Cricetulus griseus: one gene and its partners. Each later gene encodes a partner of the first gene's protein in a complex. Links are inferred from orthologs where the notes say so. Each region holds a gene or a part of one and is shown in the gene's direction. Other genes may lie near its edges. The genes, in order: Kansl3, Kansl2, Ogt, KAT8 regulatory NSL complex subunit 1 and Phf20.

Region 1 (3,515 bases):
CCTGCCGTTGGTGTGCTTTCTCATAACAAACCAGTAAGTTGGTTGCTCAGCCTTAACTGGCACATACAATGTTCAGACTGAGCCTTAGAGGTTTGGCAAGGGAAGATAAGTGGCTTAACTTTCTCATTAATAGCTTGGGTTCTTCTTAAAGATTCATTTATTTTTAAAGTGGGATTCTGCACTTCAGTGCAGGTGTTCATGGAGGTCAGAAGAGGGAACTGAGTTACAGGCACTTGACATGGGTGCTGGCAATTGAACTCTGCTTCCCCGGAAGAGCAGTGAGTGCTTTTAACTGCTGAGCTGTCTCTCCAGCAAAGGATCAGTGGTTGGTATAAGCTGTTGGGATGTAGTTGTTGAGAGTTTATATAAAGATGAATGAATACTTCTCACTCAGTGGTTCTTGGATGGGATTCTGTCTCCTCAGAGTAAACTCCCTGGCTCTCCTTTGATTCTCATCGCCTCCTCTGGTCCCTCCAGTTCTGTGTTCCCTGCCTCACGCCGCCACCGCTTCTGGCAGTCGCAGCTTTCCTGCTTAGGCAAGGTAATTGTAAGAACAAGGAGTTCTGGGTAGGATTGTAGTCTTAGGGGTTAAAGGGAAGGGTGTGGGGGAGGGGTCAAATTTATTGAACTCAAATGTGGTTTATCCCCTTATCTCTAAGGGTATAAACTCTGGAAACCCTTTTTGTGTTTGTATCACCTGTCTCAGAGATTTGGGATGAGTTAAGCAGAATTGAGGTTTGAAACTTGGCCCTTCTGACGTGGATGCTCTTTCTTCCCTTTAGGTCATTCCTGTAGCCACCCATCTGCTGAACAATGGTAGTGGGGTAGGAGTTCTGCAGTGCCTTGAACACATGATTGGGGCAGTGAGAAGCAAAGTGCTGGAGGTGAGAATGCCCAGGTTTGGTTCACAGAAGGGCACCCAGTAGTGTGGGATTGCTCTGTGCCCATGCACAGTCTCCTATTTACTCTCTTCTTTTTCTTGCCATAAAGATTCACAGCCATTTCCCACACAAACCCATCATCTTGATTGGATGGAATACAGGAGCTTTGGTGGCCTGTCATGTAAGTAATTTCTGTTTTATTTGGAGAACACTGAAAACTTAAATGTGGTCATGAAAAACAGTGCTGCTATTATTACTTTGAATTCTTCTTTGTCTTTGTGCTAGATACTTAGCATGGGAAACTGCATTTACATTGTGGAAGACAATCTCATTAGTTTTTAAATGTTGTAATGGAAATGTTACTATAGCAAGAATAGAGTAGTGAGTAAATTCTTTGATCTCCTAGTTTTACCAGAGTTCAACTCATAGCCAGGCTTACTTTTGTCTTATTCCTGCCCACTTTCTCTGTGCTCCAGATTATTTTGAAGAAAGTTTCAAAGTATGATGACACATGGTTATAATCTTAGCACTAGGTAGGCTGAGGCAGGAAGATTGCCATGAGTTTGGTGCTAGCTTGGGCTATAATAATGAGTTCTGGGCTAGCCCAAACTTCTTAGGAAAAGAAAACAGTATTAAAATGTTCCAAATATAGCCAGGCAGAGGAGGCAAAGGCAGATGGATCTCTTGAGTTCAAGGCAAGCCTGGTCTACAGAGCAAGTTCCAGGACAGCCAGGGCTACACAGAGAAACCCTGTCTGGAGGGGTGGAGGAGTTCCAAACACTTCCAGACTTCAATACCTGTGCTCTCTCCTTAACATTTCAAATGGGGACAGATTAGTAGTTTTGAATTTGATGTTGTATTTGTGTTTGCTTCCTTTAATAAGTATCAATGGACATTTTTTTTTTTTTTTTGGCATGTATATGTAAGCTTGTGTAAGTATCCTTGACTTTTGAAAGCTCCATTTCTTCAACTAGTGTAGTCAAGTATGCTATCTAGAGTAGTGAGATAGCAAGTGTCTGCTATAATCTGCACACCCGAGGCCAGACCTCTCAGTAGTCACTTACTTTGAGAAGTCTCAGCTGTGTAGGAACTAGCCCTGAAAACCACTGATAAGAGATTTCTCCACTTAAGGGACAGGCTGGTATTAAGTTTTGTCTATGTTGTGGGGTGTTTCTCTGTGTTCTGAGGATGGAACCCAGGGCTTGCACATGTGAGGTAATTGTGCTACTCTGAACTAGCTGTATCTCCCTGCCTGGCAACATTTATGTTCTTTTGCTTATATTTGTTCTCAATAACAAAGTCAGTCAAGAGGGCTCTAGTTGAGGTTGCTCTCAGGGCTGAAAAGTGACAACTCTATCAGGCTCCGGTGTATGTGGGGGTCTGTCAGGGCTCCAGTTCTCTAGGAAGTGACTGCCTGTGTTTTGTACACTTAATCATGTCATGGCTAACAAAAATGAAAGCTAGGACAAGCAAGAAAAGCTGGAACTGACTGGTGGCTCTAAACTAGCCAGTCCCACCTGCAGTCTGGGGAGGCTGAGGTACAGTGAATTCACTTGCCAAAAGATGAATGGTGCCTTTATTTACAGGTGTCTGTGATGGAGTATGTCACTGCAGTTGTCTGCCTTGGGTTTCCTCTGCTTACTGTGGATGGCCCCCGGGGGGTAAGAGCGAGGTGAAACTGGTTGGTCTTTGGCAGTGGAGTGGGGGCAGCAGGAATGTGGGACAGTGGAGTGAGGCCTCCCACAGGTTCACAGCTGACGCAGGTTCAGTTTCTGAACCGATTCAAGGTCAGTCAGTGCTTCCTGAGCACCAATTGGCTGAATCTAAACTGCTGCCTTCCTCTTTTAGGATGTGGATGATCCCCTCTTGGACATGAAGACACCAGTCCTCTTTGTCATTGGTCAGAATTCTCTACAGTGTCACCCCGAAGCCATGGAGGACTTCCGGGAAAAGATTAGAGCAGAAAATAGCTTGGTGGTGGTTGGGGGCGCTGATGATAATCTCAGGTGGGTGCATTGCTCTAGAGCTGAGAGGGAACATGTTAGAATGTTAAAAAATTTCTTGTCTGGGGTCAGTGTAATGACAGACCAGCGTGACCAAAATTACAATTAAAAGTTGCATCCTATAATCCCAATATATGTTCAGAAGGCTGAAGCAGAAGGATTCAGTTTGAGGCCAGCCTGGCCCTTGAACTTGTCTCAAAAACTTAAAACAAAAAGCTGTAAAAATAGTACAAAAAATACGAAATCTCATGTATCCTTCACCTAAGTTTCTTGTATAACCAAAATACAATCTTAAAATGAGGAAACTAATGTCAATTTGATAGCATTGTCTAGTCTAAATAACAAACTTAGATTTCATCAGTGTCTACCTAGTGTCTGTGTCTCTTTTTTGAGATAGGATTTCTTGTAGCCTAGGCTGAACTCAGATTTACCATGTACTGAGGATGACCCTTACTGAAGACATCCTTCTGACCTAACTACTAAATCTCCATACCCAGTCTTCAGTGTTTGTTTTCTGTGACCTTAACACCATTAAAGACAGCTGACCAGTTATGCTACAGATAGTTTTTAAAAAGTATTTTAGGATTACATTGAAGATGTTCAATGTATTCTGTCAGTCAGGGGATACATG
Region 2 (3,515 bases), on another chromosome or scaffold:
CTTTAATAACAGCTTGTGTGGGCTGGTGATATCATGGTGTTAGAGTCCTTCCATGAATGGGGCTCTGGGTTTGACTTTGAGCATTACACATAACACACTAAGCAAAAACAAAACTCAGGGTGAGTTGACTTGGAAGCAGTCAAGTTTCTGGTCCAAATGAGACAGCATCTCATGTAGTCCTGGCTGTTGGGTAACTCACTCTGTATACCAGGCTGGCCTCGAACTTCGAGATCCAGCTGCCTCTGCCTTCTGAGCACTAGGACTAAAGGCGTGCACCACCACCACCACCACCACCCCTGGCTTTCGCACTGGTCTTCAAGGTGTGAATATAATAATCATTTTAAATTTCTTAAAGACAAAAAAAGTTATTTGGTGGCTGAATATTGCTAACTCCTTTCAAGAAAGAACTGATTAAATATTAATGTTTTGTCTCCTTAGGGTATCTTTCTGTGCCGAACATGCTCGAAGGAATGCCCTAGCACTTCATGCTCAAATGAAGAAGAACAATCCAGGCCCTATGGGTGAAACCCTCTTATGCCAGTTGAGCTCATATGCTAAAACAGAGCTGGGCTCTCAGACCCCAGAGAGCAGTCGAAGCGAAGCTAGCCGGATACTGGGTAAGGATGTCAGGGTCTTCTCTGCTGGTGTCAAAAAGGAAGAAGCTAAAGAATGAACTTGGTTTAGTTCAAGGCTTTGTGCATTTGTGGTTGTTACTGGGAATTTGGTGAGAAATCCAGGATTGCTATTGCTAGTTAGTTGTTTTGCTTAGATACATTGTTTTGTTTAGATACATTCTCCTGATCTGCTGATCTTTCCTTCTGTTAAATTTTTAAAAAGTTAAAAAATTTGAATTTTAAGGTTTCAGGTTCATCTCTTAAGTAATGTAGCTTCATGTGTGGAGTTACAGAGGTGGGAAGTCTTAATGGCTATTCTTCCTTCCTTGCCTCAGATGAAGACAGCTGGAGTGATGGGGACCAGGAACCCATTACTGTGGATCAGACATGGAGAGGTGACCCTGACAGTGAAGCTGATAGCATAGACAGTGATCAAGAAGATCCCCTAAAGTAAGTTGTAACTCCACCTAAGGCTTTTACATATTTTATGTAGTTAGTATGTGAAATGTAGTGAGGCATGTGGTTAATTAATACAAGTGGGTTTAAGTGTCATGGTTCAACACCATCTTGCTCCAAGGCAAGATTTCTTGATTCTTTTATGGAAGTCTTGGAACTGAGTTATGCCCATGAGATGTTATAGGGAAGAAAGATACCTTGACATAGGAATGGGAGGGAGATAGACAGAAAAGCACTGGCTGGCTAGAGAAGAGAAAATGGATTTAAATACATGCTTGTCATAAATCTCAGAAATAATGAGCTATTATACTTGGACACTTGCTGCAAAATTCTATGGTTCTGACTTTTTAAATGGGAAATAAAAGTGCTCAGTAATTTGTTTTGGTTTCATGTCTAATGAAAGGAAAACTGATTTAATTATATGTTAAGGTCTGCTGTAACCCCTGGTCATCTAAGAGTTGTAGAAATATTGAACATTGCCATTGAAATCTAATAATTTTTTGAGGCAGGATCTCATTATGTATCTCTGACTGGCTCAGGCTTCTGTTTCTTCTAGTACTAGTTTTTGAATCATCTTAGGGTTAGATACTATGTCTTCACTTATGTATTACAGTTTCTTTGTAACAGTCCTGGCTGTCCTGGAACTCATTTTGCAAGCCAGGCTGGCCTTGAACTAACCGAAATCCACCTGCTCTGCCCCCAGAGCGCTGGGATTAAAGGTGTGTGCCACCACCCAGCTTTTTATTGGTTTTTTTGAAGACAGGGTTTCTCCGAGTTGCCCTGGCTGCTCTGGAATTCATTCTGTAGACCAGGCTGGCAGGGAAATCCGATCCTCTTGCCTCTGCCTCCCCAGTACTGGGATTAAAGCAGTGTGCCAAATTGTTGGGTAGGTATTTATATTGTTGTTGAATACACTTAATGTACTGCAGTAACTGATTTTTTTCACACTATAGTTATATAGATGGGATTTTTTTCTTCAAAGTAACCATTAAATTGCTTTGTAAAACATAATCTTAACAATTTCATTTTTAAAGCTTATTTACAAGATTTATAACATTTTAGCCAAAGTATAATGGTTAGGTCTTGTTTCCTTTTAAAATTTGACTTCCATACTATTGTTTATATTCTCTGCTGCTAGAGTGAAAAATAATTTCCTATTACTTGTTTTTAGTTTTGGATTTTTGAGGCAGAGTCTACCTGATCAGCCCTGATTGACCTCAGACTTAAATATTCATTCTTCCTGAGCCTCCTTAGTTCTGGGATGACAGGCATGCATTACCATGCCTGCTTTAATTTCATTTTAATAAACTTGTCATTAGGTTAGTGTTTTATATCACTTATTAATGCAGGCATAGCCTATTACCTTGTTTACATAGGAAGAATTACTTTTACTCCCCCCCCCCCCCCCCAGACAGGGTTTCTACTACACAGAGTAGCTTTGGAGCCTATCCTGGCACTCACTCTGGAGACCAGGCTGGCCTCGAACTCACAGAGATAAGCCTGCCTCTGCCTCCCAAGTGCTGGGATTAAAGGCGTGCACCACCAACGCCCGGCTACTTTTACTTTTTTCAAAATAAAGGGTTTATGTAAGTGTTTTGCCTTCGTATGTAGTGTGCCACATGTATGTCTGATTTCCATAGAGGTCAGAAGAGGTCACTGAATACACTGGAACCAGAGTACTGCATGGTTGTAAGCCACCATGTGGTTACCTCTGTAATAAGTGGTCTTAACACCCCCCCCCCCCCCTGCCGCCCCAAGCTATCTCTCATCATTCTTATAAGACAGCATCTGTGTATCCATGGCTGGCCTTGAACTTAAGAACCTCCTGCCTCTGCCTCATGAGGGATAGGGTTGCAGGTGTGGGCCACCATACCTGACTGGGTGTCATAATTTTTACAGTTTTCTGGTTTTGTTCTTTTTTTTTTTCCAAAGATTTTATTTATTATGTATACAACATTCTGCTTCCATGTACATCTGCACACCAGAAGAGGGCACCAGATCTCATAACAGATGGTTGTGAGCCACCATATGGTTGCTGGGAATTGAACTCAGTACTTCTGGAAGAGCAGTCGGTGCTCTTAACCTCTGAGCCATCTCTCCAGCCCCTGGTTTTGTTCTTGATTTTTCTTTTCTGTTTTACTTGACTTTTCTTTGACGTTAACTACTATTCTAAATACGTGCATATTGGTTTCACTTTTAAAGTTTTGGCAGATTTGCTTTCAGTCCTGAAGTAAATTTTTTTCTGTATTCTGTATATTTCAGAATATAGGGAAAAATGTTTTTAAGACCCGGTCTCATGTACCTCAGGCTGTTCTCAATAGGCTGTGGAGCCAAGGATGACTTTAAACTCCTCATCTGAGTGCTCTGATTATAGGAATGCATCAACCATACTTTATGTATGTACTTTTTTTTTTTTTTGGAGCCAAGGTCTATATAACCCTGTCT
Region 3 (3,515 bases), on another chromosome or scaffold:
AACTGCAGCCACATTTCCCCGATGCTTACTGCAACCTAGCAAATGCTCTCAAAGAGAAGGGCAGCGTAAGGATTTTTCAGTCTATTTTTATTTCTCTGTTATGTGGGAGAAAAGAAAAGTCTTCATTGTACATGTTAAGTATTGAGATGGGTATATTGGTTTTTGGAGTTTTGGTTGATGGAAAGGAGAATACTAAAACATATCCATTTTGTGGTATATTACTAGCCATTAGGCTCAATGATGCAGTTAAATTACTAGAACATCAGTGGTTTCTCTGATTCTTTTGTGTAGTGTTTGAATGTTTTTTTTTTTTATTTTCTAGGTTGCTGAAGCAGAAGATTGTTATAACACAGCTCTTCGTCTGTGTCCTACCCATGCAGACTCTTTGAATAACCTTGCCAATATCAAACGGGAACAGGGCAATATTGAAGAGGCAGTCCGCCTATATCGCAAAGCATTAGAAGTATGTTGAATGCTGTAGCTGGGTGTCTAGCTAGCCTGTGTGACAGTAGAGGGAAAGAAGTTAAGTTGTTTGCCTGCCATTCACTTCTTAAAGAGGATCATTCATTGTCTTATGGAAGGACCTATGGCATACGAGACATCCCTACACTGAGTTCATTATTTTATGCATAGATGAGATCTGTACAAAGCTAATGACTAGTAAGCTGAGTAAAGCTATTACAAGGAAGAAATAAGGTCAGTGTCTAGTGGTTGGTAGGTGTGGTAGGAGTTTAGAAAAGAGGCTGCATTACTCAGTATGAGTAACAGGAAGCGAGGCCTATGTCAAGTTTGAAATGAAGATAGGGATAAAATGGAGGAAGCAGTAGAATTTAAGCTATTAGACCAGAAGAATGAATAAACTTGGAAAAGGTGGAGAGAAGATAAGATATGTTGTGAAGTTCTCAGAGTTGTGGGAGGTAATTGGGAGATTATGCTATTTAATGTCAGCTGTGATTGTGACTCTGTAGGTCTTCCCAGAGTTTGCTGCTGCACATTCCAATTTAGCAAGTGTACTGCAACAACAGGGCAAGCTGCAGGAAGCACTGATGCATTATAAGGAAGCCATAAGGTAAAAAGTTTATAGCTTTTTTCTATTCTTCTTTTTGAGATTATAATATAATTGTACCATTTACCCTTCCCTGCAAAACCCTCCTGTATACTCTCCTTGCTTTCAGATTCATGGCCTCTTCCTCCATTAATTGTTGTGACATGCATAAATGTATGTTTTTATATGCAGATATGTTTCCTTCTTTATTTTTATGTTTTTTTTCGAGACAGAGTTTCTCTGTGGCGTTGGAGCCTATCCTGGCACTCGCTCGTGTAGACCAGGCTGATCTCGAACTCACAGAGATCTGCCTGCCTCAGCCTCCTGAGTGCTGGGATTAAAGGCGTGTACCACCACTGCCTGCGCAGATATGTTTCTAAATATAATTTGCTCAATATGTATAATGTTACTCAGATATATTTTTTCAGAGCTGACTATTTGGTATTAGATAACCAGTTAGTGTTCTTCACTGTAGATGACTATTTCTCCCACTCAGCATTCCTTAGATACCTGTATTTCTTGGTGTGGGGTTGAGGCTTCATGGGCTTTCCCCCATCCACATCAGCAACCCCTCCCCTCCCATTTCCTCCCCTCCCCCCTTCTCTCCTCCCCCCTATTATTTATTTATTTATTTATTTATTTATTTATTTATTTATCTGGGTTTTTCAAGTCTGGGTTTCTCTGTAGCTTTGGAGCCTGTTCTGGAACTCTGTAAAACAGGCTGGCCTAGAACTCAACAGAGATCCATCTGCCTCTGCCTCCCTAATACTAGACTTAAAGGTGTGTGCCTCCATGCCCAGCTTTTCCAAATACTTTGATAACATTAAAGATTTTACAGGAGATAATCAAACCCTTCTGTTCTCCTTCAGAATCAGTCCTACATTTGCTGATGCTTACTCTAATATGGGAAACACTCTAAAGGAGATGCAAGATGTTCAAGGAGCTTTGCAGTGTTATACTCGTGCCATTCAGATTAATCCTGCCTTTGCAGATGCACACAGCAATCTGGCTTCCATTCACAAGGTACTGCTACTTAGTCTAACATGGGCACCTTAGCACTGAAGTTTCATTGTAGGAAACTCCTTATGAGCTTGCTTTCCTTCCAGGATTCAGGGAATATCCCAGAAGCAATAGCTTCTTACCGCACAGCTCTGAAACTTAAGCCTGACTTTCCTGATGCCTATTGTAACTTGGCTCATTGCTTGCAGGTAAAGAATTATAGTCCAGTGTTTTTCTTTATGTATTATTACCACTTTTTAATTTTTATGTGCCATAATATCCAAGCCTGGCTGGAGATTGTTATTTTTTAGCAAGTGGAGGGCAGTGGGCCGCTTTCAGGAGTCATTTCTCTCTTAACACGTGGGTCCCAGGCATTGAACTCCAGTTGTCAGGCTTTCAGTGAACCAGCCCCAAGACCATGTTTTTAGGAGGTTATCTAATACTATTTTAGGAAGTCAAAGACTTGTAAAATAAATCCTTGGCTAGGTTTTCTGGGTGATGATAATTTCCTTTTGCTTCCTCTAGATTGTCTGTGATTGGACAGACTATGATGAGCGAATGAAGAAATTGGTTAGTATTGTAGCTGAACAGCTAGAGAAGAATAGGCTGCCTTCTGTGCATCCTCATCACAGTATGCTGTACCCTCTTTCTCATGGCTTCAGGAAGGCTATTGCAGAGAGGCACGGGAATCTCTGCTTGGATAAGGTGACTCTTGCTTTAATTTTTCCGTTATAAACTACAATGCAAATAAATAAAAACATTGTACAAATCAAATGTAAGGTATGGTAACATCACCCAAGTCAAGAAATTGAAACTTTCTTAGCCACTCTCAGTGTGTCCTGTGTTCAGTTGAACTTCCTTCACTCCAAACAAGGATGGAGACTTGTTTTCCGTAAGGTGAAAATCACAGCTAGGTATAGTGGTGCAAACCTATAATCCCAATACTTTCAACACTTAAGAGGATTGTGAATTGAGGCCAGCCTGGGCTATATAGCAATCTCCTGCCTCAAAAACAAAATCAAGCAAAAATCTCCACTTAATAAGAACATCTTAAGAGCAAACTAAAAGGCCGGGCGTTGGTGGCGCTTGCCTTTAATCCCAGCACTCTGGAGGCAGAGGCAGGCGGATCTCTGTGAGTTCGAGACCAGCCTGGTCTCCAGAGCGAGTGCCAGGATAGGCTCCAAAGCTACACAGAGAAACCTTGTCTTGAAAAACCAAAAACCAAAAACAACAACAAAAAACAAACTAAAGGCAACAACAACCAAAGCCCCACTGGTGTTTAAATAAAGTGTATGGTATTATATACTCAACTTTGACAATTGTCAAACTCAACTCAACTGATAAGAGTTTGGGATCTGTTCTAAAAAACAGTAGTAGATTAAAATTTCTTTTCCCCTTTTCTTTCCTTCCTTTTTACACAAAAATGCTTCTGCAGAATCCCCTAAAATAATCATAATAGAATTCACATTTC
Region 4 (4,310 bases), on another chromosome or scaffold:
CGGGCAACGGCCACGGGCTCCGGCCGCGAGCCCCGGCCCCGGCCGCCCCTCCTAACAATGGGACCGGGCCGGAGGAGTCGCGGGCCGCAGGGGGTGGGGGAGCTCCCGGACGAGGGTCGGAGGCGGGGGAGGGGCGGGACTGGCGCTCTCTGGATCTCGGCCCCGAGGTTCTGTGGAACCTGGGGGTCGCGTCGCGTCGCCTCGCGGGTGGGGGCGGGGGTGGGGAGGGGCGCTCAGGCTCGCCTGCGAGTCGGGTCAAGAGTCAAACTCCTCCGGTCCCCACCCCCCAAATCCGGTGAGCGGTAGGCAAAGTGATGCCAAGTCTCCCTAACCGAAGTGACAAACGCGGAGACAGAGCAAACCCACCCCAGTGCTTTATTTTATTTTTAAAACGGGGGACCTCGACTCTGAATTTAAGAAATTATTTTTTTAAAGAGGTGAGTGTGTTATTTTTGTGTTCCTACGCGGGCAAGCCTCCATTTTAAGTGAAGCAGTAACTGGTTAAGCTGGAATGTTCATTCAGGCCTAGGACTTAAGGCTCCTACAAGGAAGGGGTCATTTAGTCCATCCTTTTGCGTCCCTACACACTTAGCACCCACCATCTTCAAAATTAATTCCTCTGGGCTGCTTTTAAAGATCTCTGGGAAAGAAGGATCTTTTCTCCCCCCCTCCATTTTTTTTTTTTAACTTGTAGTACTTCAGTGAAGAATAGCAACAATTATTATAATGATGATGATGTAGAATCAGCTCTGAAACTTTATTTATTTATTTATTTATTTATTTATTTATTTATTTATTTTGGTTTTTTGAGACAGGGTTTCTCTGTGGCTTTGGATCCTGTCCTGAAACTTGTAGCTCTTGTAGACCAGGCTGGTCTCGAACTCACAGAGATCCGCCTGCCTCTGCCTCCTCAGTGCTGGGATTAAAGGCGTGCACCACCAACGCCCGGCTGAAACTTAATTTTAAGAAAAGTTAGGACATTGGAGTTGCCAGAGAGGTTTACATTTATTAAATAAAAGTAGCTGTAGACTTTTTTTTTCCGGTGACGAGTTAATAAATCACTTTCAGTAGTGCTTATGAAATAATACTCTGGGAGAATGGGAGAATAACTTTTCCTCCTGGATTTTGGTTTTCTGAATCTTTAATAAGTAATTTTTGATTATTTAAAATTTATGGTCTCTGATGTAAAATATACATGTGAAATTCCCTTTCCAAAGAGAATTGTATATTGTACCTTTTGTTGTTGTTTTTGTGTTTGATACCATCTCAACAAGTAGCCTTGCCTGACCCTGAACTCACTAAGTATACCAGGCCAGTGTTGAACTCCTAGATGACAGCCTGCCTCAGCCTCCTCTGAGTGCTGGGATTAAAAGTGTGTGCCACACCTGCACACTTTCTAGGATGGTAAGGCAGTTGGCACTTAGCATCCTTCCCAGATAGAATAAGCTATTTGCATATTCTAGATTATTGTCATCTAAATGAAACATCCTCCTTTTCAGATCTTGCCACTTTTATCCGTGGTAACTGAGGGGATTTCTTAGTCTCTCCCTGCTTCTTTCTGAGGCTCATCTGAACTATTCCTGACACTATGAATGCTATTTGGATGCCTCTTAAGGTAAGATGTATTGGTTTTTCCTTATTACTTCATATGAGTGTTTTAGAACCAAGAATATTTGTTTGCTATTTGTGTTTTGAGACAGGGTCTCATGGTAGCCCAGGCTGCCTTGAACTTTTTAGATTGCTAAGCATGCCTTTAACTTCATGAACTTCCTGTCTCAACATTCCAAATGCTAGGATGTTCTTGAATTTACAACTCTTCAATTACCTTACAGGATACTTATCCTGAGGACTATTAGCTTCTTAGGATTTGTATTATTGCTGTTCTTGATTGGTGTTAAAATATTAATGAAGTTCTCAAATTAACTTTTATTATAATGATGAGTTCATTTTTTAAAATAATTTATTTAACTTTATTTTATGTGCATTGGTGTGGAGGTATCTGGAACTGGAGTTACAGACAGTTGTGAGCTACCATGTGGGTGCTGGGAATTGAACCTGGGTCCTCTGGAAGAGTAGCCAGAGCTCTTAACCACTGAGCCATCTCTCCAGCCCCAGAGTTCATTTTTTTTTTTTTTTTTTTAAACCTTAAATTATTACAGCTTGCATACTAGTAAAATTCTGTTCCAAACCTGGCTTATGGGGTTGGCAATTCAGACTTTGAGGTCCATTTTCAAACAGGTACTTACTTTAGAGTCATATGAACTTGGGTGTGTCCCACTTTTGCAAATCAGAGCTGATTCATGTGTTACAAAAGATGTGTCATTAACCATTTGTTTACTCTGAAGTTTCATATAGTATATTAAGGTTTATGTGTACAACTCTTCATCTGCTGCTCCTTAGGCCAGTTCATGAACCCTTACACTAATTTTTTTCAACAGGTAGCCATTGTGTCCTTTCATTTCAAGGGCAATGTGGGACAGTGACCATTTGTCTCTTATGGTTCTTTCTGATCTGTTCGGAGATGGCAGAAGAACTCTTGGTTAGGGCTAAGCAGAAGACTGAGCTTAAGGCTTGAAAGTGAGGAAGTGAGAGGGAGGACCAAGAACTGATAAGTAGTGCTAGAAGTCCTCTGTCAGCCTCGCCTTCCTTGAGAGTTAGATAATGATATAGTTAAGATTGTTTTGATCTGCTCCATGTAATTCCAGAATAGTATAGTGGGTAAATCAGAATAATGCAGTCTGTGTAACCTAAATATTTGGACTTTTGGGAAATCTTTAGGTAATGTAGACTGGATCTTATCCTCACTTTTGTTCTGGCTGCTCTTGTTGGATGAGTGCATATATTAATATAAAGGGGTCCAAAGTGACTCATTCTTTGCAGTCTTTTCCCCATGGTACAGCTGGAGGGATTGAATGGGGAAACAGTCTGAAGAATCGATTGCCTAGGAACTGGAGGACCTTGTATAATTGTGTTTTCATTTCCTTTTTTAAAAAAATACATTTATTTTTATTTATGTGTGTTGGTTTTTTGCCTGCATGTATATCTGTGTCACAGTGTCAGAACTCCTGGAACTGGAGTTGACAGACAGTGGTAAGCTGCCATGTGGGTGCTGGGATTGAACCCTGGGTCCTATTAGTTAGTATTCTTAACTGCTGAGCCATCAGGACTTGCTGACTTCTATGACCAGTATATTAGATTTCATGTTTCAGCTTCCTTGGTTTTAAGGTATTAAATATATTGAGGCCTACTTTTTAAAGATGTGTGAAGTGTTTAAGGTTTTACCTCTAATGGTAAACCTGGGGAATTACCAGAGTCCTTTGACTTGTCGGAAATACAGTCAGTGTCCTATAGTAAGTATGAATTATTATCTCTTAACTACTCGAGAATGTAATTATGTGGCTGCCTTAGTTTTATGTTTCCTACCAATCCTTTGATCGGTGTAAAACTGTGCTAAGTTTAAGCTTTGTTGTTTTGAGATAGAATCTTGCTATATGGTCTAGACTGGCCTAGTACTCTAATGACTCTGCCTCCCAAGTGCTGAGATTTCAGGCATAAGCCATAAACAGTTTTTTTTTTTTCTTCACATTTTCTACCTTTATTTTTTTTTTTTTAGAAATCAGTTTTTTTTTTTTTTAATGTATTTACTTTTTATATGCATTGGTGCTTTGCCTGCAGGTATGCCTGTGTGGGAGTGACAGATCTTGGGAGTTACAAACAGCGTTGAAGTGCATAGGGGTTCTGGGATTTGAACTCCGGTCCTCTCGAAGAGTAGTCAGTGCCTTTGACCGCTGAGCCATCTCTCCAGCCCCTTCCTCCCATTTTTTATACTTAACATTTCAAAATACGTTTAAATTGGCAGAAACAGTACGTTTTTTTCTATATTTTCAAATTAGAGTTTTTTTTATTTTATTAATTAAATTTTTTACTTGTATTTTATGTATGTTGGCGTTTTGCCTGCATGTATGTCTGTGTGAAGGTGTCAGATCCCCTAGAACAGGAGTTACAGACAGGAGTTACAGACAGGTGTGAACTGCCATGTGGTAGGTCCTCTGGAAGAGTAGCCAGTGCTCATAACCACTGAGCTATGTCTCTAGCCCTTTGTTTTTGTTTTTGAAACAGGGTTTCTCTGTGTAGCCTTGACTGTCCTGGATCTCTGTAGATCAGGCTGGCCTCAAACTCACAGAGAACTGTCTGCCTCTGCCTCCCAAGTGCTAGGATTAAAAGCATGCACTGCCACACCACCACCAAGTTATATTTTTAAATAAAAAGAAATGAGACTTTAATTAAAGTGTATACATCATGGCAAATGT
Region 5 (3,515 bases), on another chromosome or scaffold:
TGCTTTTTTGGTGTTTTTTACTTATTTTCCATTCTGTGTGTTAGGCTGGCAGCACGTGGCTTGGGCAGCCCTGCTTTTCTGCCTTTTTGATGCTGCCTCACTCTGTGTGCATTTTTGCTGACCTTCTTTCACTTTAACCAATTCTTTGAAGTACTTATAGCCCTTGCTGTATGGGTAGAAGGCCTTTTTTTTTTTCTTCTTTAATTTTTAAAAAATCACCTATTACTTATTTTTGTGTGTGCATGTCTGCACTTGTGCCACAGGATGTGTGGTCAGGAGATAACTTGTGGGACTTGTTTTCTTTGCCGAATAGGAACTGGGGATTGACTACAGATTGTCTGGCTTGGAAGCATCTGTTGGCTGGCTCTGTCTGTCTGTCTGTCTTTTGAAATGAAACCTCATTATGGCCTGGAACTCATTCTGCAGATTAGGCTGGCCTCGAACTCCACCTGCCTCTGCCTTTCAAATGCTGGGATTAAAGATGTGTGCTACCAACCTTGGTCCTCTTTTTCCCTCTGGTTTCCTTCCTTTCTCTCTTTTTAATGTGTCTGTTCCAACACCCGCAGAAGAGCATTGGATGCCCTGGATTTGGAGTTGCGGGTGGTTTTGAACTGCCTAACGTGCTGCTGGGATGTGCACTTGAGTCGTGTGTGGTCTGACTCTGAACCATCCCTCCAGCCCCTGAAGAGTGGCCTCACATATTGTCTTCTAAGGCGTCTCAGGCTTCCTAGTGTGTTTTGGAACTCTTTATTTCTTGATTGTTTACATATATATTTCCCAAGCACTCTTTATTTCTTCCTCTAGGTCAGTTGAACTCTCCATTGGAAGCTGGCCAGGTCTCATCTGTATTAACTTGCCACTCCTCTGGGGATGGACTGGGAGCTGCAGGCTTGGAGTTGAACTGCAAGTCAATGGGAGAAAACACTATGAAAACTGAACCGGTGTCTCCTCTTGCTGAGGCGCAGGAGGTTTCGACTGTTGAAGGTGTGTGTTTAGAATGAACTTAATTGTGTATACTTTTGTATATGTGTATACTTACTCTTTTACTTAAACTATAAGGTGTGTGTTTGTTTGTTTGTTTTCTGAGACAGGGTTTCTCCGTGTAGCCCTGGCTATCCTGGAACTTGCTCTGTAGGCGAGGCCTGCCTCTGCCTCCTGAGTGCTGGGACTAAAGGTGAGCACCCCAGCCACCACCCAGCTCATTAGTAATATTTTAAGGCCTTCACACCTATACTATAATCTCCACATTAGAGAAGCAGAAGTAGAAGCATTGTCACATGTTCAAGACCAGCCTCATTTAAGTAGAGGGCTCCAGGCTAGCCAAGGTTTCACAGTGAGGCGATCTCAAAAGATACATACATACATACATACATACATACATACATACATACATACATACATACATACATACATACTGGAATAAAAGCCCGAGTGAGTGAGTGAGTGTGTGTGTGTGTGTGTGTGTGTGTGTGTGTGTGTGTGTGTGTGTGTTTCAGACAATCTCACTATGTAGCTCTGGCTGTCCCCTATGTAGACCAGGCTGGCCTATAACTCACAGAGATCTTCCTACCTCTCTCTTCCCAGTGCTGAGATTAAAGATGTACGCCACCATTCCTGGAAAAATTCTTTAATTTAATGCTATGCTCCATTCATTTCTGATTTTGTTACTATATTCTCTTGTGGTAAATTTGACTATCATCAATTTTATTGATCACTTCAAAGAGGTAACCTGGTTAGTTTCTCTATTGTTTTGTCTCTAAAAGATTTGTCCTAGCTTTCTAGGATCTTATAGTTGTTTTAGCCCTGTCATCTTTTCCCCCAGTATGTGTGTGTTTGTGTTTGTATATGTATGGTTGCACATCTACCCATTTAATCAGTAGATGTTAAATGCATGTAAGTTCCAGACCTTATTCTAAACTGTCTTACTTGTGAATGTTCTGTATGTACAGAACATAGATTCATGTGGTTTCTAGATCAGTAGCTCTAACCTCCATAGTCTTGGTGGTTGCTGGTTTATTATAAAGTGAACAGAAAGGCATTTGCCACAGAGCATTAGAAGCCAACAAGTGTTGCAGTTTTAAGTAGGTCTATTTACCATAATGCCTAAAAGAATTGTAGTTTTCACAAACTTAGGTTCTTTAGGCTGTTTGTTTGTTTGAGACTCACTTTGTAGCCCAAGTTGGCTTAGCACTCACTGTGTAGCCCAGGCTATCCCCAAACTCCTAGCCATTCTTCTGTCTCAGCCTCTGAGCGCTAGAATTGCAGGCATAAGTCTCCTGGTTCTGTTTTCTTAAGACTAGTCTTAGATATGTAATCATTCTACTTTGGGAAGTTGTGTCTATAGCCCACTGTATCACCAAGTGGGCTTATCAATTTAAGCCCTCCTGTGTTTTTTTGTCTAACAGAATGGATAATCAAGATGTGAACTCCAGAAGCCCTTAAAATAAATACTGAGAATAGAATGTCCGCACCCCTGTGTGCCTGCTGTGGAGGAACTAAACTCAGAACTCCCTCTCTGAGTCCTCCTGTGTGCCAAAGAGTTCTGGCTGTTCATTTTACAAAGATGAATGGGCATTCTTGGGCTTAGTGTTCTTAACTGCCTCCGGGAGAGAGGTGCGATTTCGGCAGGAGTGGAGGAAGGGTCTTGGAAGGTGCCAGGTAGTCATTTGAAGATGGGCGCAAAGCACTGTGTGGCCCATGAGCCTATCAGGTGTGTGCTTTTTAACTTAACTTAATTGCAGGCTTCCTAAAATAGGTTAAGACCTAACCAGAAAATTGCTGTCAATCTGAGGCCATTTGCTTTGAGGAATTTGTGGAGTTCTTGACTTTGAAGTTAAGTCTAACTTTATAGTAGACAAAGGAGCCCGATAAGTTGCAAGAAGAAGCAACTCATTCAAAACTCTCTGCTTCTATGAATTGCTAGTGTGGTCCCAAATCCTGCCCTCCTGCCGTGTCCCCATCCCACCTGATGAGCTGCTGGGTCACATCTGTGAACACAGGAGAGGAGAGCACAATTGCTGCCTGGAGGGATTTTGTACAATGTAAGGTGCAGGCCCATCTGTTTCCTAGGTGCTTGTTTGTCACAGTCTTGTGTCCACTCTGAATGAGAGGCAGCATGCAGTAGATGATCAGGACTTAAGCCTTTGTAGCTAAAGGGAGACAATTGTCCTAGAAGCAGAATAGTGTTCCTGGGGTTTGTTTTGAAACAAGGGCTCTGTGGGAAATACAGATGATACAGAAAGCTTGCCGGGAGGAAGGCCACTAAAGACTCATGCTCCAGGAATGTGTTATATAAGTGAACAGGAAACGGGCTGAGATGTCAGCAGAACAGCCACAGGGAGCAGGGGCTGCTAGATGCAGCATAGTTACTGGGTAGTGACTGTTCTATAGGTTACCGCCGCAGCTTTGGTGTTCCCAAACCTAGATGGAGTCATGTCTGTGTGAGAGACTCCTAGGCAGCAGTTGCAGCTGGCATAAACAACATGTCAGAGAAGGCTGGCAGCTGGGCCTCCCAA

Evidence for each region.
Region 2: Kansl3 (region 1) and Kansl2 share a complex: the UniProt entries of both Homo sapiens proteins name them as parts of the NSL complex. The link is inferred for Cricetulus griseus from reciprocal best matches to the Homo sapiens genes KANSL3 and KANSL2.
Region 3: Kansl3 (region 1) and Ogt share a complex: the UniProt entries of both Homo sapiens proteins name them as parts of the NSL complex. The link is inferred for Cricetulus griseus from reciprocal best matches to the Homo sapiens genes KANSL3 and OGT.
Region 4: Kansl3 (region 1) and KAT8 regulatory NSL complex subunit 1 share a complex: the UniProt entries of both Homo sapiens proteins name them as parts of the NSL complex. The link is inferred for Cricetulus griseus from reciprocal best matches to the Homo sapiens genes KANSL3 and KANSL1.
Region 5: Kansl3 (region 1) and Phf20 share a complex: the UniProt entries of both Homo sapiens proteins name them as parts of the NSL complex. The link is inferred for Cricetulus griseus from reciprocal best matches to the Homo sapiens genes KANSL3 and PHF20.

What each region holds. Positions count from the first base shown.
Region 1 is NW_023276807.1:11,846,503-11,850,017, forward strand, and holds part of Kansl3 (KAT8 regulatory NSL complex subunit 3), read left to right. Parts: coding exon 1-33; intron 34-424; coding exon 425-541; intron 542-782; coding exon 783-884; intron 885-990; coding exon 991-1,062; intron 1,063-2,467; coding exon 2,468-2,542; intron 2,543-2,729; coding exon 2,730-2,887; intron 2,888-3,515. UniProt on the Homo sapiens protein: Non-catalytic component of the NSL histone acetyltransferase complex, a multiprotein complex that mediates histone H4 acetylation at 'Lys-5'- and 'Lys-8' (H4K5ac and H4K8ac) at transcription start sites and promotes transcription initiation.
Region 2 is NC_048595.1:395,010,438-395,013,952, reverse strand, and holds part of Kansl2 (KAT8 regulatory NSL complex subunit 2), read left to right. Parts: intron 1-438; coding exon 439-617; intron 618-949; coding exon 950-1,064; intron 1,065-3,515. UniProt on the Homo sapiens protein: Non-catalytic component of the NSL histone acetyltransferase complex, a multiprotein complex that mediates histone H4 acetylation at 'Lys-5'- and 'Lys-8' (H4K5ac and H4K8ac) at transcription start sites and promotes transcription initiation.
Region 3 is NC_048604.1:68,615,413-68,618,927, reverse strand, and holds part of Ogt (UDP-N-acetylglucosamine--peptide N-acetylglucosaminyltransferase 110 kDa subunit), read left to right. Parts: coding exon 1-65; intron 66-322; coding exon 323-463; intron 464-968; coding exon 969-1,069; intron 1,070-1,914; coding exon 1,915-2,068; intron 2,069-2,151; coding exon 2,152-2,253; intron 2,254-2,569; coding exon 2,570-2,749; intron 2,750-3,515. UniProt on the Homo sapiens protein: Catalyzes the transfer of a single N-acetylglucosamine from UDP-GlcNAc to a serine or threonine residue in cytoplasmic and nuclear proteins resulting in their modification with a beta-linked N-acetylglucosamine (O-GlcNAc).
Region 4 is NC_048600.1:117,493,637-117,497,946, reverse strand, and holds the start of KAT8 regulatory NSL complex subunit 1, read left to right. Parts: upstream 1-1,499; 5' UTR 1,500-1,615; intron 1,616-4,310. UniProt on the Homo sapiens protein: Non-catalytic component of the NSL histone acetyltransferase complex, a multiprotein complex that mediates histone H4 acetylation at 'Lys-5'- and 'Lys-8' (H4K5ac and H4K8ac) at transcription start sites and promotes transcription initiation.
Region 5 is NC_048599.1:23,320,050-23,323,564, reverse strand, and holds part of Phf20 (PHD finger protein 20), read left to right. Parts: intron 1-804; coding exon 805-984; intron 985-3,515. UniProt on the Homo sapiens protein: Methyllysine-binding protein, component of the MOF histone acetyltransferase protein complex.